3 linked regions of the Struthio camelus genome follow. The protein of the gene in region 1 interacts with the protein of each later gene in a pairwise test. Links are inferred from orthologs where the notes say so. Each region holds a gene or a part of one and is shown on either strand. Other genes may lie near its edges. The genes, in order: GRB10, IGF1R and GIGYF2.

Region 1 (9,321 bases):
GACCAAAGATTCCTAAAAACCTTTGTGACAATTCTTGCCGGAGTCAGAGTCATTTAAGTACATGCAAGAGAGAGGGCTGCAAAAATTTTCATTTTATTCATAGAATACATGGCGTATTCTTAAGCAGAACTGAAATGGAGAGGTCCATTTTACATGTAGGCAGTGCTTTTGGACTACATGATTTAATAAAATAGAAACACACTACTGAAATACAGCCACACCTGGATCTGAGGATGAAAGCCAACTCTCACATAGCACTAAGGGAGGGGATATTTTGATTAACAAAACCAAGGAAAACCATGGAAGTACCGCAAGATCTTTAATACCTAGCCAGGGCAAACAAGACCTACTTTAAGAACAAATAAAGTGCAAGTGAAGAAAATAAATCAGAGGAGAACATGGTAAAATGATCACTGGGGGGCAAGCGTCAGGTCTGCTGCTCTGTCAATTCACCCTCTGAAATAAGGCTACCAAATATTGCTCTTCAGGCTTTATCATTTGCTCTGTGTTGTGCAGAATTTTAAGGAGTTAGGGTTTTCTTTCTCTAAACCAGAACAGCCTTGGTATTAGCATATAACTGTACAAAGATAGGCTGAGGAACATGGTTCTTGAATAGCTCTCCCTCCTCTACTCTACTGCTAGGTAAGTCTTCTGCTTTATGCATCCCACGCATAGAGTATCCCACTGACCCCTCCCCAACCCTCTCCAGCCCCCAAATGATCAGAAAGCGCAGCCAGACCTGTCCTTTAATGTTTCAAGCATACTTCCTTTTCCCATTCAGGTTTTCTAGTCTCCGTACACTTTTTTTTTTAACCTGTCCTCATAACTCACTCCTTTTAATCCTAGGATTAGCCTTATTGCCCTTCTCGGTACCTTTTCTAGTGCTGTAAGTACAACTAGTCTTCAGATGCAGGAATAAATCAAGTTAAACTGTTAAGGCTTCATCACCACATAGCCTGCAAAATCTTTGTTAAAATGAGTAACTGCTCAGCACCTTTATGAGGCAACACAATTTCAGCTGCCCTTGGGAAGCATAACTTAACACGGTAGCTACCCTCATATCCCTCTCTCACCATCTAAACTGCTGGTAGCTCCCCCACTACCACCCCGATTTTTTTTTTTTTTAAATATAGAGGAGGGAAAAGTAAACCGCATTCGCAAGGCTGTTTTTATAAAACCTGATCAAGGCTGCTTCGACATACCAGCAACACATGTTCCCGCTTCAACAGATCGAGACGTTTTACGCAGACCACCACTTCAGCCGGAGCGGGGCTCCAGGCTGCTGAATCAGCACTTCCCACCCCCCTCTCCATGCGGAGTTATGCGAGGCTTCAAAGGAGAGCAGGGAAAAAAAGGCGGGGGGGGGGGGACGGGGATGAGGGGACGGGGACGCGGGGGGCTGGCCCTTAAGCGACAGAAGCGGGCAAGAGGATTTTGCAGGAGTTCATCTGCCGAACCAATTAACTGCAAACTGCTCTTAGGGAGATGCCACAGTTTCGGGCGCAGCTTGCAGCACCGCAGTAACGCGCCTTTCGGCCTCGCCGCCCTCCAGGGGCTGCAAATGCGGGCAGCAGAAACCAGGGAGCCCCCCCCTCCCCACCAGCCCAGCCTAGACCCTGTTTTGGGGCGCATCGGCTCAGCCGGAGCCCTCCGAGTCCACGGCAGCAGGCGCGGCCGGGCGCACGGCGCTGCCGCACCCGCAAAGCGGGGGGGGGGGGGAGAAAAGGAGGGGGGCATTTTTGCCGAGTGCCCATCGGGGTACCCCGCTCGCCAAAACGGAGAGGGCGCTCGGGCAGCGCTTGGCGGAGCGGCTCCCACGCGAAGCGCCGGCAACAACCGCGCGCCCAAAACACACACATACACCCCCCCACCACCAAAAAAAGAGATTCCCCCCCCCCCCAAAACATCAGCAAGGAAAGGCCGCCCCGGGCAGCGGGCCGGCTCCCCCCGCGGCCGCCCCAGGTGCCCGGGCGGCTCCCACGGGGCCGGGCGCCGCCGCCGGGGGCTCCGCGGCCGCAGGAAAAGGAAGTTTGCTCTCCTCCCCGCCGCCCGGGTCCTCTCCCCCCAACCCCCCAAACCACCCCCAGCTGCGGCGGCCGCCCACCCCCCCCCCCCCGGCAGCACCTTACCTGCTCCCCGGCCCGGCTCGGCCCGGCCTGCCCTCGCCGCCGGCGCCGCGCCCCCGCCAAGTTTCGGCCGGCGGCAGGGGGAGGGTCGCGCAGCGCCGCGGCAGCTCCTCGTCGGCGGGGAGATGGGGGCGACGCTCCTGCGGGCGCCCGCGGCGGCGGGGGAGAAGGGGGATAAGGGCGGGGGCAAAGGGGGGGGGCAACTCTCGGACCACGCGCCTCAAAACAAACAAAACAAAAAAAAACCCCGAAACAACCAAAAAAAAAAAACCAACCCCAAACAGCAAGAATAAAAACCTCAATTAAACAACAGCAAAAAAAAAAAAAAAAAAAAAAAGGCCCGAGCCGCGCTCCCCCCCGCCGCGCGGGGCTGCGCTCCGCGCAGAAAACTTCTGCCCGCGCTGCCGCCGCCGCCGCCGCCGGCTCCCGGTGCTAACGGCGCCGCCGCGCTCTCGCCCCGCGCCCAGCTGACTCGGCGCCCGCCCCGCCGGGCCCTGCCCCCGCCCCCGCCCCCGGCACCGCCCGCCGCCGCACGCAGCCGCAGCCCGCCCCCGCCGCCCCCCCCGCTGCCGCTGCCGCTGCCGCTGCCGCTGCCCGCGCCGCCGGGGAGGGGGACGGCCGGCCGGCCGGCCGCGGGCGCGTTTAACCCCGAAACTAAGCCCCTTGGTCTGCTAGACGTGCACAGCGACACGTATGACGTGTTTTTGTCGGGGGTGGGGGTGGGGGGGGCGCGAAGGAGAAGGGTTGTTTTGTTTAAAAGAAAAAAAAAAAAAAAGAAAAAACCGCGCGCACACACACCAGCGAGGACGCTCCCCGGCGTGATAGGTTTCCGCGTGGACTTTTTAACTTAACCTGCTCCAGCCCCCCTGTTCTCACTTGCCCCAGACGGCCGTAAGAGCCCTGGTTGCCCTGGGGCGGTCAGCGCGCCGCGCGTGGGAACCGCAAGCGAGCTCCGCTGCCTCGCAAAACACCGGGTTCCCGCACTGCCACGGGCCGCTGCTTCCCGCTTTGGCGCACTGGGACCTTGGGCATTTCACTCCGTGGATCACCAGAGCTTTGCCCGTACCTCCAAGCAATCTTATTTGCAAGTAACTCCAGTTGCATACTTCGGTAAGAGCTACCGTTTTAAAGCACCCAGGCTCGAGGGCAATCTGTTCCACTCCAAGGAGGGAGGAATACTCCCTCAGTCAGACGCATAAAACACCTCTTGTAAGAAGTCGTCAGCACTATAAAAGGAAATTAAGTCCAAGGAGAAGCAGGAAAAATCTTAGGGCTTTTCCTCGTAAGATTGATTTATGTAAATATTGGCAGAAACTATTGGAAGCACTGCGACTGAACTCTCCGCCGAATGTATTTTGAAGTGTAACATGATACCTTCATTGCTCTTGTTGTTCTCTCTCTCTCTCCGTGGTTCATTCTTTACTGTATTTCCCGGCGTGTTTTGTTATCAATCCTCCCTCTCCCCGTCCCTGTGTTTCTACCCTGTTGCGATCTTGCTCCCTGTTCTCGCCTCTTGCTCTGCCTGCTCAGCTCCTTAAATAATCTCTCCCTTTTCCTCGGCTGTATCACATCAGCCTCTCAGAGGCACGTGCCGCTCTGCTGCAGACTCACTGTTTGCCCTCCTCACACCGGCAGCCTCAGGCCTCGCCCCGGCAGCCGCTATTTGCTCCGTCATCTCCACTTCACTCGGCGCTGAGCTCTCCTCTTCAGCCTGTCAGCACCGCTAGCACCCTTCGCCTTCCCTGGGGAGCCCGCTCCGCGCCCGGCCCCTCTCAACGCCGCTCCTCCCCGCTCAGGCCACTCTGCCCCAGCACCAGAGCCCTGCCTTTTGGGGATGGAGGGGTATTCCCAGGTGATTTTCCTGCCCACCCTCCCCGAGTTGTACGTGCCAGGAATCATTCGCACCAGGCGCCGGAGCCAGTGCTGCGCGTGAGTAGGCCGGGGCCCGTCTCCGCTGGCTCTGCCAGGTTGCGGGGCTGGCCTTGCGGGAAGCAGGGCCGGCGGCGTTCCCACGCTGCTGCCCTCCACCAGGGCTGCTGCGTCCCGGCCCCGCGCCGGCCTCCCTCCGACAGCGCTGCCGTCTTGCCCGAGGAGGGAAGCTCCCTCCTTCCGATCTCCAGCTGAAAGACTTTTGTCCAGCTTTTCCGTCCAGTGAAGAGGTGCAGGTGTGCATCTCTGCTGCCCGAGATGGCTTCGGAGATAGATGGGCGCATAGCTGTCAGGTGCTAGAACCAACGTGTCTGGCGTTATTGCCTCACGTGCTTTCATAATCAGCGTCGCACAAAGGTAGATCGGACTGGTACAGCATTGTTTGACCTGTGTGTGTGTGCAAGAGAGGTGTCCAGAAGACTTTTTTTCCCTTCTCTCGCAGAGCCAGCCGCCTTGGGCCCGACCAAGGCGCTCGACACATGCCTAGTACACATCCCCTTTCATGCTATTTGCCCCAGCGCATTCTTTAGCCTCATAATGAAACAGTTATACGTTGTCATCTGCAGCATTTCCCTTCTAGACTATCAACTTACAGGCCACTGTTAACAAAATAAGCCACACACAGGGTGTCCTCAAAAAAAACCGTGAAAGGAGAGAAGTTATATAACTTGACCAGCATTAGCGAGTGAGGCAGCAGCAGAATTGCATTTCAGGAATTCCTGGCTTCCAAAATACGCAGCTTCTTCCCTAAATGTTCAGATACTCCAACGTAAAAAGATGCTTCATATATTTCTTATTGAAACCAGAGCTCACCCGTAGCACGGCAATGTGGTACCTGCAAGGCTGAAGTGAAAATGGAAGCATAAAACTCAGGTATTTTTGAGCCACCAGACAAGCAGCCTCCTGGCTGTCTTCCAGCACGCTCTTTCTTTAAGTGTGCTCACTGTTTCTCCATATAAGACTGCCGATCCATCAGTTAATCATATTGAGTAAGTACCTAAAATTAACTTTTAAATTATTAATGCATGAGAACATATCCGTCTGCCATGTGCATTATTTTAAAGGATTACAGTATGTACACTGAGTGCCATTAATGTTACATTTTTTGAAGATGGTAAAGTGACTTGCATGGAAATCAGAATAGTTGATGGATTCCTCTACGAATGCTTTTGGCAGTGATAAAGTGTCCGACTGAATTGTTGTTAAGCATGTGTCCGTGCTTAGATTTCCTTCTAATACATACAAAAATAGGAGACTGCCCAAGTCTTAATAGTACAAAATTTTTCATTCTGTGATGAGTTAAATAAAAGAAGTAGATATACAAGAGCATTGAAAACATTCCTCTGACAAATAAAAACACTAGGAAAGATACGTTTAGTTTCCTAGACTACAACTGTATTGTTCAAGGCAAAACCTGTACTGTCATAAAATTGTTTATCAAAAATAGCACCGTTAAAACTCTTAAATGTAGAAGTAGCAATACATCCCTACAATGGCGGTGAAGGACATGTTTATGATAGTTATCTTTTCCCTTAACTAACAAATCTGAAAAAAAAAAAGAAAAAACAAACCCCTACAGTATGCCATACCATGAAAATAGCTGCCCGGAATATAAAACAACCTACAGGATTAACCGATATTTTCTTGAAGAAAAGAAAAATTGTAATTTTCCGCAAGGAAAACCGCACAAGAAGTAACGGGAGCAGTAATATTTGGTGAGTGCGTAAACATTATTTCCACTCAAGGACAGTGAAAAAAGTAAACATTTACGCAGAAGCTTCCCGGTGCCTCCAGAAGTACCACGCACGGGAATTACACCGGGGGTAAATTTATCCCCGCTCCCCATTTTCTTCTTCTTTACCGTAGCTAAGGTATGGGTCGGGTAAGACCGATTCCAGTGATTTCTAATGAAAGCTGTGGCCAGGCCTTCCCGTGCCGGAGAGGCTCCTGCCGCGCTCACGGGAAGCGAGGGCGCGCAGGGAGAAGAGGGGGGGCCGGCCGGCCCCCGCCTAGCTGGGCAGCACCCGGCTCGGGGCTTCGGCTCTCCCTTTATTGCCCGGTCAACATGCGGGAACAACTGCGTTCTACCGTTGTGATGTGCTATCTTGCAATTTTTAAAAGAGAATGGAAAAGGCCGTCGTTGCCTTTTTTACTCCTTAAAAGTTTCCATTAACGGAAGCTTTTTTGGTGGGTGTTAAGGCTGCAGAAGCAGGTCCCAAACTTAAGCGGAATATTGGCATTCTGTAGGCAGTTAGCGCTGAACTTAAGACTTAGCTCCTAATAATAAGCGGCTGTTAAAAGTTCAAGTACAGTGGGCTTGGGCTGCTTTGCCCTGAGACTTAAACTCCGCAGGGTGACTTTCTTGTTCTGGAACTTATCCAAGGGACGCTAAGCTTTACAATTCAGTTATCCGCATGTGGAAAAAAAAAAGGTCATTTTTAGGAGTTTTGATTAAACTGAACAATGAAAAATGTCCCATAGATAGGATGTTTTCTTTAAACAGTCTTAGATTTCATATATACTCTGAGAACAAGCACAATTTTCCTTTCTTTTACACTCATGTAGGAAATGAAAATCCACCAGTATAAGATCTGAAGAAGAGAGATCAGAATCTGGCCACTGCTTTCATTCTCAAAGGCACTTTCATGACAGCATTATATGAAAGTGGGCATTGAGCATCATCTTTAACTAGGATGAATACACTGATAAAAGACTTCAGCGATCAAAAAAGGGTCAACGTGGTCATTATTACCTACTAAGTATATAGGCAAAAATGCTGACCAACCTTTGAAATGGTAATAAGTTTCTTTTGTCACGGACAAGGCTTTTCACCTTAAATAGACAGGAAGTGTAACACACTATAATTTTAGTAAGGTTAAACCTGGAAGAAAACCAATTTAAAATTAATATTTTTGTTGCTTTTACTACAGTTGAGGCAAATACTTGAAATATTTTTTAAAATATCCAGAAAAAATAAATGAAGTCTTTTTAATGTTAAAAGAGGTAAAAAAAAAATTCTCCCTCCTTTCCATCTTCTTCATTTTTTTTCCGTTATACCTATTTTACCACTGTATGGTGGAGAACAAAAGCCAAAAGGGGAAGGGAAAGGGCTAAGACTAAATGTGTTATAAAAACATCCACTATTTCACATTTCACTATTTCACTTTTTCTATGAGAGCAAAAGTATACAGATTTTATTTCAGAATTCACCAAAAGACCAACATTTTCAGACTTTACTTTTTTTTTCTCTAGTTTTCACTCAATTCTCTGCTTTTACCTGACCCTGCAGAAGCTTTACCAAGTGCATTAATTTTAGAGGTTTAGGTAGTTCTTTTTTTCTGCCCAGTTGCTATCAAAAGGCTTTTTAATATTAGCTGATTAGGAAAAAGTTTTTTTTTTTTTTAATACTAAAAAGATAGTATAATATTTATCTTAATAATAAGAGAAAAATAGGAGCTATGGCATAACCGCAGCAGAATAAACTGACTGGACTATATTATGGAGATCTCCTTTTTGTTGCTAGGTAAGTTATATCTCTATTTACAGCTTTTGAAAAAGGCTGAATAGTCAGGGACATGCTGTAATTTGAGCTAGAAGTCTGAGCTCCAGTGAAAGATGTGTGCTCTTTCTTGGCTGCACAAAATGGAACAGTTACACAAGTTGGTAAAAATGAGAATGGAATTCTAAGAGACATTGATGATCCAAACAGAAGCTGCATTTAAAAAAAAAAAAAAGGAATAAATTTAGCCCACCAGTCTGTAAAAACACACCTATTCCCGGTTCTAGCCCTACAATTAACACATTGACTAATTCAACAGTAATAACTGTATCCTATCATATTCTCTCAATTCTGATGAAGAAAACTGGGTATTTTTGGATATTTAAGGTGTTAGGTGAAATGACATCTTAAATGTGTTTTACTGTTTCCAAATCAAAAAGCCAACTGGTTTCCAGATGCATAAGTTTAACTTGTGTGCCAGCTATCACTAGATGAAAGGAAAAAAAAAAATCAGAAATATACTGCAATAGGAGGAGATGCAGTTCAAGCTATAGTATATATTCTCTTTTTTGACAAGAAAAATTGGGATCTATTCAAAACATGTAGTGCTCATTCACAGCTTTGTCACAGAGGAGGAGAGAACAACTAGGACGGTGACTCAGAAGGAAATCCAGCCACATGAAAGTCAGTGGCAAAGCTCTTTGTGAGCCTAGGGCGACCATGATTTCATCTTGAGGCTTTTCACGGTTTGGTTGGGGGGCGGATATGAAACGGCTGCATCTTCAGCCTCATATCTTGCTTTGTACGCTGGAGCTATTATGAGCATGTTTTCACCAGTCCTGTAGCAGGATCTTCTGGCTAGTGCCATCTGAAAACCAGGAGGGAACCCTACAGTGATGTGAACAGGAAGGGATTCCATAGCGGTAGACTTCACCGAGCTAAGAGAAGAGGCATGGCAATCCAGCTGTACTGCACCCAAATCAGATCTTCTTTGTGCTTATGCACTGAGCTGTGCAGGATATCAGCATCCTCAGAAGTAACATGGGGATCTCTGTACAACGCAGTCTCGTAAGCTATCGACGTGCCTTTGCACGGCTTGTATGATGGGGAAGCAGAGCTAAAGCCCAGGCTGGTTCTCACCACGTGCTGCCTTAACCATGCCTCATCAGTCTACCAGGCTGCCTAACATACAGCATGTAACATCACTTTTCTAGAAGAATTACAAAATATTTCAGTGGAATTGATAGAAAAGTCTGCAAATAATGCCTCTTACTTGTATGTGCTAGAAAGCTAATAGTTACTTAAGGAGCAGAAATCTTTGCATTCTCCTCTCCTGCAATTTCAAAATGCCTGTAATTTCAGGCTTGCAATACCTATTTAAGTCGAAAGGAAATACTTGGTTAAATGTTGAAATAGGTTAAATGAATTGGGAGGAAGTCACATTTTGCCTTCCTAGCAAGAGGAAATTTTTAAAAAGTACAAATTCACATCTTAGCCAATCAGCCTGCACTACATTATCATCTAAATTAATCCCTTGCCATAAAACTATAAGCCTTTAAAAACTCTCCTTAGCTGATTAAGCCAAACCTTTCACAAATCAACTGGCAGAAGAGATCCCCTGTTCCATCTATAGCAAACAGTGGGTAGATTGCTTACCCAAAGTTTTGGAAACTCATGTTAAAATACCAGTTGTGTCTGAAGTTATTTAAAAATCATATTTCCGACAAGTCTCCATATTTATTTATTAGACTATAGGGGAGGAGTAGG
Region 2 (9,911 bases), on another chromosome or scaffold:
ACAGACCCTGGGGGGGGGGGGGTGGAAAAAACAAGAAAACCCCAAACAAACACACAAGGGAAGGCTGATTCCGTGCAAGGCAACCTCGACCCTCCGACATCAGAGTGGGGCCGTCCCGGCCCCCCGCGCTGCCCTGGACGGCACAAAAACAACGTCGCGGCGGCGGCTCCCGGACGACGCCGACAGACGCCGCGGCCCTGCGGGGATTAAGCGGCAGGAAGAAGCCCAGGCAGCCCGGGGCCCCCGCCAGGCACCTTCTCCTCCGCGCGGGCTGTACGCGCACACGCGCGGAGGAAGCGGCTAGCACGCCGGGAAACCCACCGCGCAAATCTTAAATCTAGATACAACACGGCCGCTTCAAAAAAAAAAAACAAAAAACCACCACACGTTTAACAGTGTAGTCCTCCCAGGCATCAAACGTTTCTGTTTACGCGCAGACATAACGTAGCGACCTAAAAAATTCGGGGGGGGGGGGGTGGATCGAGACGGTGAGCTGCAGGACGCCACCTCAGCTCTGCGCCCCAAACGGCGCGGACGCAGCCCTTCCTCCACAGCAAACCGGTCAGGGGAGGCACCACGCTTCTCCCAGGAATTCCTCACTCCCGCTGCAAGGGTGGTTTCACCCAGACCTCCCAAAGGCCGAGCCGCCCTCCAGGTGCGGAAGGCAAGCACGGCTCTCCCCAGCCCTCGAGTGTCGACTACGCAGTTCGCAGCCCTGGCCGCAACGGGCTAAAAACATCGCGCTAAAACGCGGGGGAGCTCTCAGGGGTGTACAGGTTAGGTGCGGGGAACAGCAAGGAGGCGACGGGTGGCCGCTATCACTGCCGCGAGGCAGCGGCCGCAGCTCTTTCTCACCGGTGCATAAAGGCCAACCTCCCGCCGGAAAACCGGGAGGGCAGGAGGGAGGGAGGGCAACGCTTTCAAACGTGCTCAAGGAGCGGATTCAGTAACCGGCGGAAAAACACACACATCGCCACAGGCGGGCTGCGACGCGCCAGCCACCGCCGCGCCGACACCCTCACACACACACACACCCCGGGAGCCCCTCGCGACACCCTCACACACAAACACACACACACCCAGGGAGCCCCTCGCCGACACCCTCACACACAAACACACACACACCCCGGGAGCCCCTCGCCGACACCCTCACACACAAACACACACACACCCCGGGAGCCCCTCGCGACACCCTCACAAACACACACACACCCCGGGAGCCCCTCGCCGACACCCTCACACACAAACACACACACACCCCGGGAGCCCCTCGCGACACCCTCACACACAAACACACACACACCCCGGGAGCCCCTCGCGACACCCTCACAAACACACACACACCCCGGGAGCCCCTCGCCGACACCCTCACACACACACACACCCTCCCAGAGAGCCCCTCGCCGACACCCTCACACACACACACCCCCGGGAGCCCCTCGCCGACACCCTCACACACCCCCGGGAGCCCCTCGCCGACACCCTCACACACAAACACACACACACACACACACACACCGGGAGCTCCTCCCCGACCCTCAGACACAAACACACACACCCCGAGGGAGCCCCTCGCGACACCCTCACACACACACACACACACCCCGAGGGAGCCCCTCGCGACACCCTCACACACACACACCCCGAGGGAGCCCCTCGCGACACCCTCACACACACACACCCCGAGGGAGCCCCTCGCGACACCCTCACACACACACACTCACCGGGAACTCCTCCCCGACCCTCACTCACACACACACACACCCTGAGGGAGCCCCTCGCGACACCCTCACACACACACACACACCCCGAGGGAGCCCCTCGCGACACCCTCACACACAAACACACACACCCCGAGGGAGCCCCTCGCCGACACCCTCACACACACACACACACCCCGAGGGAGCCCCTCGCCGACACCCTCACACACACACACACCGGGAGCCCCTCGCCGACACCCTCACAAGCACACACGCACCCCGGGAGCCCCTCGCGACACCCTCACACGCACACACGCACCCCGGGAGCCCCTCGCGACACCCTCACACACAAACACACACCCCGGGAGCCCCTCGCCGACACCCTCACACACACACCGGGAGCCCCTCGCCGACACCCTCACACACACACACACCCCAGGAGCCCCTCGCGACACCCTCACACACAAACACACCCTCCCCGGGAGCCCCTCGCGACACCCTCACACACAAACACACAACCCGGGAGCCCCTCGCCGACACCCCCACACACACACACCCCGGGAGCCCCTCGCCGACACCCTCACACACACACACCCCGGGAGCCCCTCGCCGACACCCTCACACACACACACCCCCTCCCAGAGAGCCCCTCGCCGACACCCTCACACACACACACACCCCGAGAGCCCCTCGCCGACCCCCCTCAGGCACACCGTCACACACAAACACCCCCCAGGGAGCCCCTGCCGACACCCCCCGCGCCGCCACGCACAATACTCACTTTCTCCATTTGTTGGCCACAGACAAAGTGTGGCGAAGAAGAGCAGAAACCCCCAGAAGAAGGCGAGGGACCCTCCTCCGGCGCCAGACTTCATTCCTCTTTTTTTAATTGGACAAAATCCCCCTTTCAGAAAAAAAAATAAAAAAGTAAAAATAAAAAAGTCCAAAATTGTCCTTTTTTTTTTTCCCTCCCCCTCCCCGTTCTCTAAAAAATACGAACGAGGGAGAAGGGGGATGAGAAAGGGGGCAGGATAAATAAATCCACGTTGCCTCAAGAAATTAGTAGTAATAATAATTAATTTAAAAAAAAAAACACGACGACGACCCTTCGGCTTGCAAAAAGCCGAAGGGGTTTCGAGGTCCTTGGGTGTTGATCTTCCGGAGGAACCACACCAAAATAAAAATATATATATATGTGTGTGTGTGTGTGTGTGTTGCGGAGCTCTAGCAGCAGCCCCGGGCGGCGGGCATGGGGCGGCCGGGCGAGGCCGAGCTCCGAGCTCCGAGCGAGCTGCGCGCTGCGGGCTGCGCGGGCGCTGCGCGGGCGCTGCCGCCGCCGCCGCCGCCTGCCCTCAGCGCTGGCTGCAGCGGCGCGTCGTGCACAGCAGTCGCAAACGTGAGGCACCTCGGCGCTGGCAGTCTGCATCCTCCACCTCCATTTTCCAAGCCGGCACACGCGGAGGCCGTACGCGCGCGCGCGCGCACACCCCTCACACCACAAAAACAACCCAAAAAATAATAATAATAATAAAAAAAAAAAAAACAAGGAAAAGCGGCGGGGGTGGTGGTGGGGGGAGCGCGCAGGGAAGGCTTATTACAAAACAACAACAGCGCTTCCCGCGACGGCAGGTCAGCGCCCTCCGCGCAGCGGCGAAGGGATCCCCCCCTCGGCGAGGCAGGGGGAAAAAAGGGGGGAAGGGAAAAAAAAAAAGGAAAAAAACAAAAAAAAAACCCAGCCACACCACCGCCACAAGTCCGGCTGGCCGCAGAGAGAGCCGAAATGCGGAATTCGGAGCAAAAAATGAATCGAAGAGGTTTCCCCCTGCTCCTCCTCCTCTTCCTCTCCTCGGCGCCGCTGCCACAGGCTCCTTCTCCCCCCACCACGCACCAAAAAAAAAAAAAAAATTAAAAAAAAAATTAAAAAGGAAGAAAAATCCGGGACACACACACACGCACACACAAAGCAGCAGCAGGGCGAGCCGCGCCGCGCCGCTCAGCGCGCCGCCTCCTCCTCCTCCTCCTCCCGCCGGCGCTCTCCCCCTCGCATCCCTCCGAGCCGCCGTGCCATCGCGCCGGGGGCGGGCGGAGAGGAGGGGGGGGGGGCCGCCGCCGCCGACGACAACAACAACAAAAACCACCCAGCGAATTTGTAAATCCTTTTTTTTTTTTTTTTTTTTTTGGCCTCCTCTTTCTCCCTCCTCCTCTGGCTGCGCGCGCTGCAAAACCTTCCCCCGCGCTGTGCCCAGCCCCGACGGCGGCGGGCGGGCCGAGGCGCGGGCGCGAGCCGGGGGCTGGCTGGGGGGGAGGCGACCCGCTCCGCTCCCCTCCGCGCCGCTCCGCTGAAGGTCAAAGCCCACGAGCGCGCGGCGAAGGGTCCGTAATTCCTGCCGGGCGGCCGCAGGCGCCGCTGCTCCTCCCAATTAATTCGCCGCTCGCCCGCGGCAGGGTTTGCACCGCGCTGCTGCCGCCGCCTCCCCCCTTCTTCCTCCTCCTCCTCCTCCTCCTCGCTGTGCACGGCGGAGAGCTGACGCTGGTAAACAACAGCCTCAGCGCCGCGCCCGCCGCCGCCGCCTCTGCCTCTCCGCGGCCGCACGGGGACGGGGCGCGCGCGCGCCCTCCTCCTCCTCCTCCCGCGCGCGCGCCCTCCCGGAGGCGCGCGCGCGCGCCCTCCCGCGCCGGCTCCCCTCGCCCAGGCGGCGGCGGCGGCGGCGGGGCGCGAAGCAAAAGCCGGAGCGCCGGAGCGGCGGCGGCGCGCGGAGCGGGCGCGGCTGTGCCTCCTCCCTCCCCCCCCTCCTCCTCCTCCCGCGCGGGGCTGGGGGCGAGGGGCCGCGCTCCGCTCCGCGGGAATCCGCCCCGGCGGCCCGCGCGCAGGGGCAGGGGCAGGCGGCGCGGGGCGCGGAAGCCGGGAGCCGCCGCGCCGGGTGCCTGCTGCGCGGCCGCACCTGGGGGCGGGCAGGAGGCGAGCGGGGCTTGGCGGCAGCCCGGCACCGTGGAAAACACCCCTGCCTTCTTCAGAAATAATAATAAAATTAATACAAATAAAGGCGTGAAGGGACGGCGTTCTGGAGAAATGCACAGCTGCGGGTTTTGCACGGCCTGTTTGCCTGTTTGCTGTCGGTAATCGCTGTTAACGTTGCTGGCACATGGCTTGAACGCTGCAGAGCGCGGCCAAAAGGCCGAGCGGCAAGCTCCCGGGATGGGGGTTCGGGCCCGAGGAACGAGGGAGGCGAACGCTCCCGCTGGCCTCACCTGCGAGAAGACCCAACGGCATAATTTGCCCCCTTTCACGTTTGCAGTCCTCAGTGAATACGGCGTAAAAGCCGCTGTCCCACGTACAGCTCGCCGCCGTCCGCAGCGCCAGGCCTCGGACGGGGAGGGACGAGACCAGCACACGCGGGGAAGGTTTGGACTTGCCGGGCTCGCAAGCAGACACCCGCGCGCCTTAGCTGTGCGCTAGTTCAACGAGAAGCTGCATTAAGAGACAGGCGAGTGTCACATTATTAACGCGAGTGTCAAAAGTAACTTTTCACGTTTAACCAGAAGATTTCTTGAATATGTCGGATTACAAAACTTTCAGTTATGTTGCTGCATCATTTTGCGCAGCAGCATTCCTGTTTTCCTTCTTTCCTTTGTCCGTGTTCACACATTTTGCCGTGTCAGAACGGTCCAGGCTTGGTGTCTCCATCACGCGTTAGCTCTCATACCCTGTCGGAAGGATGGAAAGGCCCCAGGGACTTTATTCTACACCAGTGAGGGGGAGTTTTGTCACGCAGTCAAGCACCGCAGGGGCAGGATTTCTCCACGAGCCGCTTTCCAGGACTGTATTTTTCTAACGCAGTCGAAACACCGGTGCCTGCACATCCAGGCGGTAGCCCAGCGCAGGGATGCGGGGCAGGAGGACAGCGCGAGTCCGTGCGAAACAGCCCTAGACCGACGTGCGCGGGTGTATCATACGCTTCACCGACTCCACGCGGGTTTTCAAGGATTCACTGAATTCGGCCGAAAAGATCTTCGAGTCTAGTGCATGTTTATTATTGCTCTGTAGGACTGTGCCTAGTACTAGCACAGGATATTGAGCAGAATAACTGCGCTTTCCGCACATATAGTGTGTAAATCGTCATGTGTTACTTACAAGTGAACGTGGTGCTGTGTAAAGGCCAAAGTGAAGTGGGAAACGTGTGTCTCCCTGTTATCGTTTTGCTGTCATTACGAATTTTTGTTATTAAATAGCCTTTCTTTTCATTGCTTCGACGAATAGGACAAGTCATGCAAAAGTGCCTTGTACGAGACGCAAACGTAGCTGCACTGCGCCCCCAAAGGCCTCGCAAACTAAGTCATATAGACCCAATCCTATAGGCGTCTCAATGCATTTTGTTTCTGGAGTTTCCTTTGTTTCTCAAAGGAAAACAAACTAATAACAGCTCAGGGGGGGACTTGGGGCATTCTCGCCGCTCTCCAGCTTCCCGTGTTGCCAAGGTGAATGTCGTAATTTGGAGTTTTTGGGCTAGATTCCGCTAGGACATCTTAACTTATATACTTACATGCTGCCTTATATCCCGGGAGGTGCACAGGAGGAAGCCCTTCCTCTGCCAAGGCCGAGATCTCCGTAGCTCCGTACCCCGAGAGGTTCGGAGGAGAGTCGGCAGCCGTCCTTACCCTTTCACCTCCGCGGCTTTCCGTGTCGGCCCTGCAGGCAGACGCGCTCAGCTTCAATGCACGCTTTTAACCGCGTTCTGCTCCCTTGTGGGAGCACCTGCCTCCGAGAGTGGTCCTCTTATTTATTTTCGGTGGGAGTATTTCAGTTAGGATTTTTCATCAGGTACAACCACAGCACGCTCGTCTCTTTACCTATGAAAACCTCGAGCAAACTGTACTGTACGTACGCGATGCACCATTTAAAGGTTGTAAATCGGACAAATGAAAGATGATTCTCATGGTGATGTGCAAAGGTGCTTCGTGATGAAATCCATTTCCTTGTCGGACACCATCTGCCTCTGCTTTTACCCGCAGACCTGCTCAAAGGAGGTTGATCTGAACGGAAGAAGAGAAGGTTTAATTCAGTGGGAACCCAGACCTGGCATCCTCAGCCAGGCTGAGCAGCACCCCCAGCCTAAAACCAGCTGCAAGAGCTTAACCTTTCTTGGGATCCAGAAATGATTAAAATATCTTGTTCGAACTTCATTGCAAGAAAGTCAAACTGACTGAGCATAAAAATATCCAGCCCAAAAGGGGAAAGTTTCCGCCAATGGATTAAGTGAGATGATCGAAATGCGGAGTTCCTGCAGCTCTCAGGCTCCCGAGTGCTTGCGAGTAACCGAGCACGTGTTAGGAGAAACCTGCCCCGTACGGCTGTGGCCACGCACAGTCTTTGCTGAGACCTGGTGAAACCATGCCTCCGCTTTGTTGGAAGCCGTTTGTTTTGGAGGTCGCTCTCCCAGCAGCTGAGACCCCAACTCCACGTCTTGTGTCGGCTGCATCGTGCCCAGCAGCTCAGCCGTAAGCTGCGCAGCCCTCGCTGTTCTTCATTACTGCCTGGCAATTCACTGGTGTCCTGATCCTTGGCAACGTCTCCTACATGAGACTGTTAATAATAAATAAAGAAAATTAAGAAAAGAAGAAAATTAAAGAAAATTAAATAGAAAATTAAGGTATATGATGTTTAATGCATGTCGCATGGCTAGATCTATGCAGGGTTTTTTCCCTCCTTTCTTTCTACGCATGAAGTCTACGGTATAATTTTCAGCAGTAGGAGAAATCGTTTTTCTCCTGGCTTGATCTTCCCTAAACGGTCAGGTAGAAAGCGTCTTTCTTCTCCGTCCCGTTGGTGCTACAACCATTCCTCCTCTGTGTTTGCGCTGGGCTGCATGCCTCCCCTTTTCCCACCGCCACTTTATGGTCCTCAAGATAGACAGATGGACAGAAAGCAACACATAAATCCACCCGCTTTGCCCTCCGGAGCGCGGTGCAGATTGCCACCGGCATACCTGCGTCCTGGTTAAAATGCCGCTTAAGTGGAAAACGCAGGAAGTGTGGCAGTGGGGATGAAACGACGCGGTTAAAACAGCCGCTGACCCCGGTCTCTCAAAACATGTATCTGCCCAAGGCAAATATCCGAATACTCAGCCATATTTTAATTTTAACAGCAGCCTCACCACTGCTTTCGGGGGCCACCACTGGGGAGAAAGAGGCCTCACTATTTTCCCTGCCTCAGTGCTAGCACTGCACTTAGGCCGGCCTAGACTTTATTTTGGCTTCCGCAGCAGTTTCGGGGCAGACTGACCTCTTTACCAGACGCTAGCTACTCGTAACCTTTAAGCATCTGAACGTTTTGCATTGCCGGTGTGAGAGATTTATTCTCCTGCCCTCCCCGAGCGCGTCAGCTCCTCGGGACGAAGCCCAGCCGACTGGAGGTGCCTCTTGCAGGGTCTCTTCGCGGCCCCTTTCACCCCTCCTAATTTTGCAGGCAAGGCGTGCTCCTTAGGGGTTGGGTCTGGGCGAGCGACTCGTCTTCCCAGCCACGTGTGCGAGCCTGGTCCCGGCACCTGTGGGACACCTCCGAGGCCTCGGCCATCACCTGCTTTCTCCCCTCCCCCAAATCTCCATTTATAAACCCCGCTTTATAAGCTGGTAGCAAGCCCTTCGATACTAGGCACAACGCAGTTTGCCCTTTTTTGCCCGGCATCGCCACTTGGTGCTTGGCTGGGAAGTGCGCCAGCCGCCAGCGGCCTCCACGGGGCTCACGGCCCTGGGAAAATGCTCGGCAAGGGGACAGGAGCGCGGCACGCGTTTGGGCAGCAGCATGCCGGTAGCTGCTCCGCGGTGGCAGAGATGTCCGCAGAGCCTCCTCACCTTCCTCCCATCTTTTCCGTACCAGCTCTGCAGCCTCGGGCCGGACTGGGGCAGATGAGACCATCCGGCCGTAGCAGAATCCCTGCAAGCCGCACCTCTTTAAGACCAAAAAAACCCCAACAATTGGCTATGTTAGTGGTGTGCAACACTTAAATACCGGTGTGCTGATCAGAGGGACCTGGAGGAAGCCCACTTCTTCGGTCGGCTTGCCTCCGAGTGATTTCTAATTCTTCTGGCCCTGATACTACTGCAAACAGCGGCTCAAAATTGGTCCCTTCTGTAGCAAATAAAAGCCAGAAGGGAAGAAAGGGTGCTGTTTATACCACCTTCCTTGTACGTGTCCTTCCTTCAAACAAAGAAATATGCAGTTACGAGGACGATTTAGGGGCAGCGGCTGAGCGGGAATAACTATAAAATTCATGTTTTAATAGCAACAACAACAATAAGCGCACAACAACATTTATAGCCCTCGTTACAGGCCTGAGCTATCATATCCATAGCAACTGCAGCAAGCGGTGAATGCCGTATATTTAGAGTTCCCGTGCACCTGCCTAAAATAGCCACCGATAAATTATGCTGATGTTTGTGCCTTTTTGACAGCGTTGCAGCAGGCTGCCGATGCGCCGAGCAGCCACGCCAAGCCCTGGCGGCGCCGCGCAGCCCAGCACTTCACTTCTGCACCCAGCGCCCGCGCTGGCGCGTTCGCCTCCCCTTTCACGTTTGCGAGTGTGACAAATGAGGCAGGAAAGACGCCTGGGAGGCGAGCGCGGCAGCGCGCGCGAGCGGTAGGTGCGCGGGAACAGCTGCCGGGGGCTTCGGGCGTCTGGCGGCTTCCCCGCTCCGGCTCGGCGGCTGTCAAAACGCGGCCGACGTTCACGTATTGAATTAATAAACTGCTGCGAGTAATTAGGGCTCTGCCGGCTCCTGCTGCAGACGGCGGTGCCGTGGTCGCACCGCGTGCCGCCGGGCAGAGGGTTGGTTACTAACGGCGGCAGAGGTGTGCGGGTCCGCGGCGGGGCACCTGGGGAGCTGGCTGCGGAGTCCAGCAGGTCGACGGGGCGCTTGTAGCGGGCGCTTGCAGGCGTCCGGGGGACCGTCTGCTTATTACCTTTTATCACGCCAACTCCTGATGTCCGCAACGCGCTTACGACGCCCATTCATCTCGCGTTATTAACTCCTGATAAGCCACGTGAGGTTTGATGTTAATCTGAAGTATTTGCCCGCAAGAGCTGCACCAGCTTACCTGGGAGAGGTTGTACCCCCGGCACTGGGCAGAACGGGTCTGTCCCTGTTGCGCTGTGATTGCCGCACTGTGCACTTCCATGTGCACCTCCTAAAGCCCGGATGTACGTGAATCCCACC
Region 3 (9,751 bases), on another chromosome or scaffold:
CCAAGGGACAGAAGAATTACATCTTTGTAAACTCACTTGCAATGTTATACTGATCCTGCCTCAGTATTCTTAAAATCTGCTATAACATAAACAATACAGAAAGTCACACATACAGATGATTCAGCATTAACTGAGCCTAGTGTAAAACCTTCCACTGGTTTTAATGGTAGCTGAACCAGGCCTCCGATTTCTTAAATCAAGTTATTGGTTGCTGATACTTAAAAATCCCACCATATGCTGTTTTTCCATGATCATCCTCACTCACTTTCTATCATCTGCCTTATTAAGAACACTGAAGCTAGCCCTGCTTAGAGTAGGGGGTTGGAGCAGGTGACCAAAGATCTCCTGCAACCTAAATTATTCTGATTCTACCATACACTGCTCACAAATCACAGCTTATACATCCTTTAGTTACCAATCATACCAACTCCTTACCATATTATATCTTGCCTGAAGTTTGAAGTTACATAAATTCAGCTACCCATTCACCACCAGAAGTACATTTTTTCCTCATATTTCTTCTTATCAGAAGAAACACACTACCACATACAGGCCACAAATCTCCTTTCATCCCATCTAACCTGCATACGTAGATCTATAGCCTCAGAACATTCCAGTCCCACCAACTGGTATCTTCATCATAAAATACTGTCAATACCATGAAAGGGATTTCAATGTGTTGTCAACAACAGGAAGAAAGTTTTTCATAGTAATCACAATTTGAAATAAGTATTTTCCTGTTGAATGAAAATGACCAAATATACAATTGCAAAACATTAATTTTCAAAGTGCAACGTGTCATGCTTACTTTTGCTTCAATAACAGCTGTTTAGCATTCAATAATAATTTTCCATTTGGTTTATTTTTGTAACACGTTATATGTAGGCCAGCTTACCTGTTTACAGTGACAAGTTAAATATACAAAAGCCGCTGTTGAGAGCAGCAAATAATCGCTTTGTTTGCCTAGATTCTCGAAAACATATGGCCAAAAAGATAACAAATCCACAATGCATTACTATTAATAATTAGCTGAGGGAATCAAAAGCTAATAAATGATCCAAAAGGTACTGTCAACACAATAGCATTTTAGATACATTTTCTAAATGCCCAGCAAAATGTCTCATTGACCTACAGACCCCCTAGTTTTACAGACATCTCTGCTTTTCTCCACAATCCTCTGAGGTCTAGATAACCAGCTTATACACATTACAAGCACTAATGACTTCAAAAAGATTATTCCTGAAAATACATACTTTGATGTCACATTTGCCAAAAACCACAAAACAATTCTGTGTATCCTTTCATACAAAAAAAATAAGCAAGAGAGACATAAAATTTTCAATGGCAGCCTAGTTTCTCACAGGCATCAAGCCACTGCTGCAGAGTTTCTATATTCAAGGAATGTTGACTGACCTTTAAGAAGAACAGATTGACAGCCCTCTCTTTGCAAAAAAGAGAACTGGACACATTTTGTAATCAACATACTGTGGCAATCTTAGCTACTAACAAAGCAATGCAAGAACTTGTCTTTTACAGTCTTCTGCTACCATCTGACCTAGAGGAGGAAAAATGAATATTACTATGATCAACTACACGGTTGCATGTGCATATATATACACACAGACACGTATATAAATATACACACACAAATATATATACATACACTACAACCAACCACAAGAGGGCCAATGTTGTATAGACCTTATGATTTAAAGCACTTAATTCTTCTCAGTTCCATCTATAACTGAAGTATACCATGAGCAAACTTGCTAACTGTTCTCAGTTCTGATGATTTTCAAGCCAGATCCTTTCTGCAGCCGAAGACTTTGATACTTGACTGCCAAGAAGGAAAGAGAGGCAAAGCTAGGCTGATAACTGACTTAATTCTCATGAAAACAAATAGCATCATCCCCTCTGGAACATGTCACACACCTAAGTTTTCAACTGTCACTCAATGAATTAAAATAAATCAATGAGAAACCACATGAAGAAAGAGATCTCTTTCAACATAAATGTCTTTTCAATAACAAGGAGATGGATTTCTCCCTACCAAAACATTCAATAGATCTCCAGCAAGCTATGTAGGAAGGAGGAAACATATCAGGCCCATGCTTTGAGGTTTATGATCTGAAATGTTGTTGCTCAGTCCCTTACCTCTGCCTATCTCTATTTGTAAATTAAATATAGTTTATCTCATTTCATCTTTGAGCAGGGGCACTAAGAAAAAAGACATAAGCATAGACAAAAAAAGCTAAGGAAAGGAATTTTTAAAAATCAGACTGTAGGAAGATTTAGCTTCATACTTTAAAAAGCAGTAGGAAGGGAGGTTAAAGACTTCAGTGCAAGAATAAGAAAAGCGCATTCGATAGTTGAGCTTACAAGAGCAGACAAAAGTAAGCAGAATCATATTTCATATTCTTGACATTTCCAACACCACCACCAAAGAGCTGGAGGCTGAACCACTTTAAAGAAGGGTGAAGAAGGGAAGGAAAAGATCATGGTCCATGCGCCTAACTCATCTTCATAGATTACTATGAACTGATTTTGCCAACTGTTTTTCCCTTTGTACCTTTAAATAACTACAAAGACTTTTCAGCAGAGGTACATACTAGCAAATAACCTCTTCAGTCAGTCTGTGTGCCTACCCTAATGAGATGCTCTACAAGACTTTGACATCAAGTTTGCTTCAGAAAGGAAGTATCTACACATCCTAAAAGTGCTGCCAACTTTTTCCTCACATTCAGGTTTAAGAAACTCCAGTTTCTGATACGACTCCATTTAGACAACTGACCTTAGGAGACAGCAGGAGAAGAAGAGAAACAATGGCACTTATTCTGAACTCTCCTTAAAAAAAGCTTCCTTGCAGACCCTTTTCAACTCCCCTTTGACACGCCAAATCCTTTCATCAATCAAGAAGTGGATTTATTAGAAAAACTAAGGTAAAATCTCAACTCATTATTTACATGCAGCTTTTTCACTTCTGTCAGTATAGAGATCTCATTTTTCATTTACTGCATGTTTTTAGGAAGGCAAGAGAGCCACTAAGTATCTGAGGATACTTTAAAGTCCCCTTAAGATCAACATCTGTTGAATCTGAGAAGATCTACAAGGGTCAGAGTTTTTACTGAGGTATTAAAGTCTTTCTATGAGCATCCTAAAAAATAGAAAGCAGGTCCTCCTGAAGGCGACAGCTGACATTCAACTCCTGCAGATAAACTTCTACGTTCTTTTTAATATAGTTGGCCATTATACTGAATCTTTGTTTTCAATCACATGTTCAGTGAGGAATTAACATTGACACACATGAACTTGGACATTAATTAACTTGTAGGACTTACGTCTATATGAGGTGGGAGGTGGAGAGGGTGCAGAAGGGGCAAAAGACACTTTAGCATTTTTGTTGACACCACTAGGACTGACTAGGGCATATAGTTTTACCTCAGCATCAGTTAACTGACCAAAGGAGGTCCAGTCAAGTGAACGCCAGTAACACCAATACTGCATGACACTAGAACTAGTATTATCTATTACAACCACCACTGAAAAACAGAGCTCAAGAATACCTGTAACAAGCTCTTGTTAGGGACTACAGCAACCAATTTCATTCATAAAGGGTCCAAATTATCACTCTGTACATCTACCAAACGTTCTATTCAGAAAAAGCATCAACTGAATGTGTTTATTAAGAAGTAACTTAAAAATAAAACGCAACTGCAAGAGTTATGGGAAAAGGAAAGAAAATTCACACGTACTTTCCAGGAACTTGCCCAAGTCAGATCCTGAAGCAAGAAAACAGAATGAGCAGCAAGAAGTTAGACAGAAGAACATAGGCAGAATTCAAAAGTCTGTTCCCCTCCACCCCAAGAAAACAGATACATAAGAATTACAGTAAGAGAGAGTAGTATTATAACAGCAAATCAAAAGCAGCAGGCTGAAGACTACTGGGGAAAATATAGGTTTTATTCCAGAAGTGTCACTTGGCAATGTCTCCTTTTGGCCTAAAACTTGCCCCACTTCAAAGTGCAGTTACACAGAGTTGAAAGAGCGGAGACTGCTTTGTTGACACTGAAACTACTTGTCTTGGATCAATACCAAACGTACATAATCCTGATCGATGTGCTCTTCAGCCTGCCAAGGCCTCTCCAGTCAAACACTGCTGGTCATTGCTGCTCCCAGCACCCTCCTGCCTGCGGGGGAAAGGCTCGAGTGCGCGACCAGCTCCCTCCTTCCTCAGCCCGTACAACCTGACAGAGCCGGGCGTGTTGGGAGCCGGGCACGGAGGCTTCAGCGAGGGCGCACCTGCCCGCGGCACGGCCAAAACACAGGCCCAGCCAGGCGGGGCGGGGAGGGGACGAGCGAGTTCACACGGGTCAGCGCAAGGGGAGGCGGCGCCGGGGCCGCAGCTGCCAGCCCCTCAGGCGCTGAGGCGAGGCGAAGCGACGCGACGCGGCGCGACGCCCGGCCGCTGCCTGACAGGCACCGTCCCTAAGCCGAACCCTAATGCCAAGGGGCCGCACGGACAGTGCGATGCCCGCCCGGCGGCGGGGAGCGCGGCGCCGGGCCCAGCAAGCCCCGAGGAGAGCAGGGGAGACCCAAGAGGGGCCCCGCGCCGCCGGCCCGGCCTGGGGCGGCCTCCCTCCCGCTAGGCCGCAGGGCGCCCCGGGCTGCGGCAGCCCGGGCTCGGGGCGGACAGGGGCCGCCGCCGGCGAGGCCGGGGCTCGGGGTGCGGGCTCGGCTCGGCTCGGTGCGGTCCCGCGGTGGGACGGCGGTGAGGCGGGCGGAGGCAGCGGCGGCGCGGCGGTACCTGCGCTCCCGGACGGAGAGTCCCTCACGGCCACCGCGACTCCTCAGCCCCAACAACACAAGATGGCGGTTGCGCCGCCACGCAACGTCACGTGAGCCCGGGCCCCGCCCCCCGGCCTCCGCCGCAGAGACCCGGATGGAAAACGGGCTTCTCTCCCCCTCCCCCTCCTCCTCCCCCCTCCCTCCTCCTTCCCCTTCCCCCCTCCCCGCCCTCGCGGAAGCACCGCCCACTTGACGACACCCGCAGGGGGCGGCCCCAGGCGCATGCGCGCGCAGCCCCCCCCTCCCGCCCCGGCCCAGGAGGAGCGCGAGCGCCGCCTGCCGCAGGCGGGCGCCAACGGTCGCCGCCGCGCCGCAAAGGCCTGTGGGAAGGAGGCGGCGCCGGGCGCCGCGGCCGTTGGCGCTCCTCGCCCTCACGCCTGGCGGTTTTAGGTTACCTCTGGGTATATTCCGTCCTAGTGGCTGCACTGAAAACCCGCCCGGTGCTGCCCGGCTGTGGGAGCCGACGGTGTGTTAGGCGGGTGCTTTGCCCCCGGGTGTCGGCCCCCGGCCAGGGCAGGCCGGGCCTCAGGCGGCGGCCGCCGCTGGCAGCTGGAGAAAACGCGGTAGGTGGCACAGCAGCTGTTTTGATACTAAACTGCCTGACGGGAACATCGTCAGGAGCTCAGGGCAAGCTTTTCCAGCTGAAAAATACTGTTTTATTTTTAGCCCTGAAACCCCTGTTCGTACACGACGCGGAATAGCCCCGTGTGGTTATTTCAGCCTAAAAAAGCTACTCTTAGCTGTTACGTGCTTTTGGAGAAATAACCATTTTCAGCTGAAACAGTCATGACTTCAGCCACAATCCATTTAGCTTTAGCTCTGCTCTTCTAGGTGAATAAATACTTGTCATTGTGCACTGAATGCTGGCCAAAGATGACGCGACAGTGCACACAAGCGATTCCTCTGGGATAACGGGTTGAAAGTTCATCATTCTGAGCTCTTATTTTTAGCCCAGAGCAACAGAGGACTGCTTCCCTTCAAAATCTTAGAATGAAAATTCTCCTTTAGGAGGCTGGTTTGAAAAAGAAAGCTCCCTAGCAAAGGGCTCTGATAAGCTAGATTTTGATTCTCCTGGTTATTGCCACACAGCTCGAGCCAATATCAATAACGGTGTGAGTAGGGAGAGATGCAGTGGTGCGCATCAAGCTGCCAGTCAGACCTTTCAGCTTCACTCCAGAAGTGGCTGTGCCTTATTATTCTGCTTGTTGAACGTGAGTAGGAGCACTCAAAAATACTCTCATGTCCTCTAAGATAAGCTACATCGGAGATGGGAGAAGTTTAAAACTTACAGAATTTTTTTCCCCCGGTTAGCACAAACATTACATTATTGAGAGAAAAATGTCAAGACGAGAGTGTCTGGAAGATGTCTCATGTGCAGAACTTAGCGTTTTTTGAAAATATCTCAAGGAAATTCAAATTATCCATAACACACTTAAATCATCCATAACACTTTCAAGCAGAACAGTGAGTCATGAACATAGAGGAGTGTATCTGTGCAGTTAAATTCCTCCATGGTTTAATTACATGACTGCAGCTGATGTACTCTAGGTATGAAATCAGCTCACTAGCCAGTCTGACATTTACTAAGGTACTGAAGATATGATGTACTTTAAAGCCATCTCGGATGCCATGCCAGTTCAACTGCACTGTTAAAAACCCAAGGGTAGGGAAATGGAATCGCTAAGGAACCAAAAGAAATCCTTATTGAAGGCATCCTAGTTTGGAAGCAGGAGCCTGCCTGCTTTACTATAGCAGTGGAGCTAGGGACGCAGAGCAGAGCTTTGAATAGGTAAATAATCGTCATAAAGCAGCTCAGAAGGCATGGCGGAGTCCGTCATTTCTGCCTTCCTCACCTCAAGTTTTAGTTACTTTAAGACACAGCTACTGTGTTTGCTGATATACCAAGCATTTTGTCTGAGAACAGTCGCTATCTTCTCAACAGCCTCTGTCTTCCCTGGGAATGGTGAACAGCCCTCATTTGTGAAGTCCCTAAAAAATAATAAAAACAACAGACGAGGCAGGCAGGTGAACACCGGACCGTGTTCTTTAAAGTCAGTCATTTCAATGCGTCTGTCACCCCAGGTGGCTTATGCTGAAAGACAAACTATCACAAATATACTGCTAGTTCTGCAGCACCCAGTTATTTTAAGACGTCCTTCTCACACTGCAAACTAACTTTGAACAGGAGCAGTAAAGCACTCTGGTCACTTCAATCTGCCTTGCCAAGGGATTTATTTGGACACTCCCAAAAGGTTAAAAATCAGTTTGGTCACCTTAATTCTCACAGTTAAAGCCTGAACGCTTATCCAGGAAGAAGAGACGAGATACTCCCAGTCATATTGTTTCCCTTTCCCTGAGCTTTACATGAGCAATTTGAGGCACGTCTTCCTCCCTTCTGGAAAAGACCCAAATCCACAACAGGTTTTTCATCAATCACCTCTCTAGGGTTTCTCTCTTCACACTTCTCCTCCCTATCACAACGCACACGGTCACTCCAAGCATGTCAGTAATGCCAGACTGGTATCGATGTACCAGCAGGTATCGGAAACCAGAATTGGAATTGCCTGGGCCTGCTGGAGCCACCTGTGGTGATATCAAGCATAAAAGTAACATGAAGGAGGACATAGTATCAAAGACTGTAAGATTTTAAGTACAGCTAAATAAGATTGAATAGGTATTGTGGGCCAATAAGTATTGGATTGGAGATTTATCTAGGCAATTTTTTTTTAGCACTTCTGCATAACCTGAAGACGCTATGTTATTTAATCCAATAGTTCCGAGCCAAACAGAAAATTTAAAGAGCGTTTATATTCCAAATGCCAGTTCTTGTAAAACTAACTTCAAAACTTACATTGCTGCACCTTCAAACAAAAAAAAATTTGTACACCCAAAAGCACATACTGTTCACTGCATTAAATACAGACCCCAGCTAACAGCATCTGCTTGAATTGAACAAAACCACTCTAGCAGAAAACTGAACATTGAGAAACCTGATGCCATTGTCCTGCATACGCCAGAGAAGAGGAACCTCACAGAAGAAGCCTGGGCTGAGAAAAAAAATCCAATTAGTTCAGCAGATAGACTGAGCACCCTTTGGGAAAAGGACTAATGAGCAAAGTCCACCCTTTGGGAGAAGGGCTAAAGAGGAAAGTCTTGACTACAGACATGACAAGTTTCCAAGGCCTACTGATAATCTCCTTGGTGGGCAACTCCAGCAGCCCTTTTTCCTTATTTGTGAATTCTCCCTGTCCCTGCTGACCCACCTACGTTGGGATTGCATGGCAAAAGAAGGATCCTTACCTTCCCGGCTCTGCAGTCCAAGCTACCTCAGGGCCAGACATGCTACTCATTTCCTTATTGAAACTTGTCAGCTGGAGTTGACTCAAGTCTTAAAATGGTCACTTTGGAAGTCCTTTTTCCACCCTCCCCTCCTGCTCCCCAGGGCTCCTCCCCCAACCACATGTTACCTGCTTCCCTTTGTAGAACTGCTATGCCAAGGCAGCAGCATTTGCTGTGGTGGGGTAGGAGGGGGAAAAGGAACATTGACAGCTGCAAAAAGGAAGTGGAGAGCAAGGAGCCTTCCTTCACTCTGATTTTTACATGACCCCAGAGACCTGAGGGCTCACAGATGTGCAGCAAATGCATGAACTGCTCACAGAGCAGTGCTAGATTGAAGATCTGTACTGGATACAGCATTTCCATTTCATCACTGGATCACACCTGCAATGAAGCCTAATTAGGCCTCCTCCTTAGCCCTCCACACTGGCCGTGCCAGCAAAGCTTAGCAGATCAGCACAAGTAGAATAAGATTCTTGGAAACGCTTGCAGATTGTGATGCATTTATTTTTCTCCTATGAAGGCAGGATGATGAAACACAAAGAGAAATGTAGTTAGACCAACCTACTCAGGCTCCCAGATGAGACACTACTAGAGGCTGAGGTGCAGTATCTATTTCAAGATAAGGGAAGGCTGACAATGTTCAGATATCAACATTTTGCAGTGGACAGTGTTTCAAATATTTGCACAGCCACATCCCTTTCAGAAGAACTGCAAACATTAGGGCTTTTTACAGCAGAACTATTGTATAGCAGTAGAGGGCATATCGAGAAGGGGCTGAACACTTCTCTGCTTATCCAAGTCAAGCCACCAAACTTTGGGGCTCAAACAGAGGCATGTTCAGGAGGAAGGACCCAAAATCAACCACATGCAAGACTGGAGATAACAAGGCTTTATTTGTACATTTCAGCAACAGGAGAAATAATTGAAGATGCAGTTATCTGCTTTGTTGTAAAGTATAAAAACATTTAATTATAAATATTTAGCTAAAAAAGCGTGATTTTATAAAATATAATCTGTGAAGATATATACACAGTTTAATTGTTTAGCAATTCTTTCACCTGACATTAAAGAGTAGAGGTTTTTCTATTTATTATTCCATGCTCACAGCTTAGTGCTCACAGTTTAAGAAGCAGAACAGACAAGTGAAAAGACGACTAGTGAGTTTTGTTTTGGAAGGAGGAAAAAAAAGAAATACACACACAAACCAGGGCAATAACAGAGCAAATAACTTGAGCAAATCCATGTTTAGAGAGAGGTCTCACCAAGGGAACATTGTTTCCCTTGGTCATGACCTACAGAGTATATCCAGACAAGATTCAGGCATTTTAACATCTATGGGCAAGCTTTCTGTGTTTGTGAAAGAAAATGGCTAAGCTTAGTGCAAGCCTTCTAAATTCAGTCCAGCTACATGTGCTAATCTGTCTGCTTGTCCCTTCTGGAGCAGGGATTGATCAGTATGCTGGGCTAGTTTTATCTAGCATGGCTCTAATGAAATCAAAGTCACCTTTATGATTCAGGCTATGAGCAGATTTCCAAAGATAAAAATGCAATGTGCCATCCAGTCACA

Evidence for each region.
Region 2: the proteins of GRB10 (region 1) and IGF1R interact in a two-hybrid assay, tested with the Homo sapiens proteins (4 studies listed by BioGRID and IntAct). The link is inferred for Struthio camelus from reciprocal best matches to the Homo sapiens genes GRB10 and IGF1R.
Region 3: the proteins of GRB10 (region 1) and GIGYF2 interact in a two-hybrid assay, tested with the Homo sapiens proteins (2 studies listed by BioGRID). The link is inferred for Struthio camelus from reciprocal best matches to the Homo sapiens genes GRB10 and GIGYF2.

Annotation. Positions count from the first base shown.
Region 1 is NC_090943.1:65,754,481-65,763,801, forward strand, and holds the start of GRB10 (growth factor receptor-bound protein 10), read right to left. Parts: upstream 3,750-9,321; 5' UTR 3,501-3,749; intron 2,555-3,500; exon of another isoform or gene 2,130-2,554; intron 1-2,129.
Region 2 is NC_090953.1:5,222,148-5,232,058, reverse strand, and holds the start of IGF1R (insulin-like growth factor 1 receptor), read right to left. Parts: upstream 3,734-9,911; 5' UTR 3,657-3,733; intron 2,961-3,656; exon of another isoform or gene 2,605-2,960; 5' UTR 2,576-2,604; coding exon 2,482-2,575; intron 1-2,481. UniProt on the Homo sapiens protein: Receptor tyrosine kinase which mediates actions of insulin-like growth factor 1 (IGF1). Binds IGF1 with high affinity and IGF2 and insulin (INS) with a lower affinity. The activated IGF1R is involved in cell growth and survival control.
Region 3 is NC_090950.1:5,921,017-5,930,767, reverse strand, and holds the start of GIGYF2 (GRB10-interacting GYF protein 2), read right to left. Parts: upstream 4,936-9,751; 5' UTR 4,805-4,935; intron 4,188-4,804; exon of another isoform or gene 4,102-4,187; intron 3,780-4,101; exon of another isoform or gene 3,753-3,779; intron 1-3,752. UniProt on the Homo sapiens protein: Key component of the 4EHP-GYF2 complex, a multiprotein complex that acts as a repressor of translation initiation. In the 4EHP-GYF2 complex, acts as a factor that bridges EIF4E2 to ZFP36/TTP, linking translation repression with mRNA decay.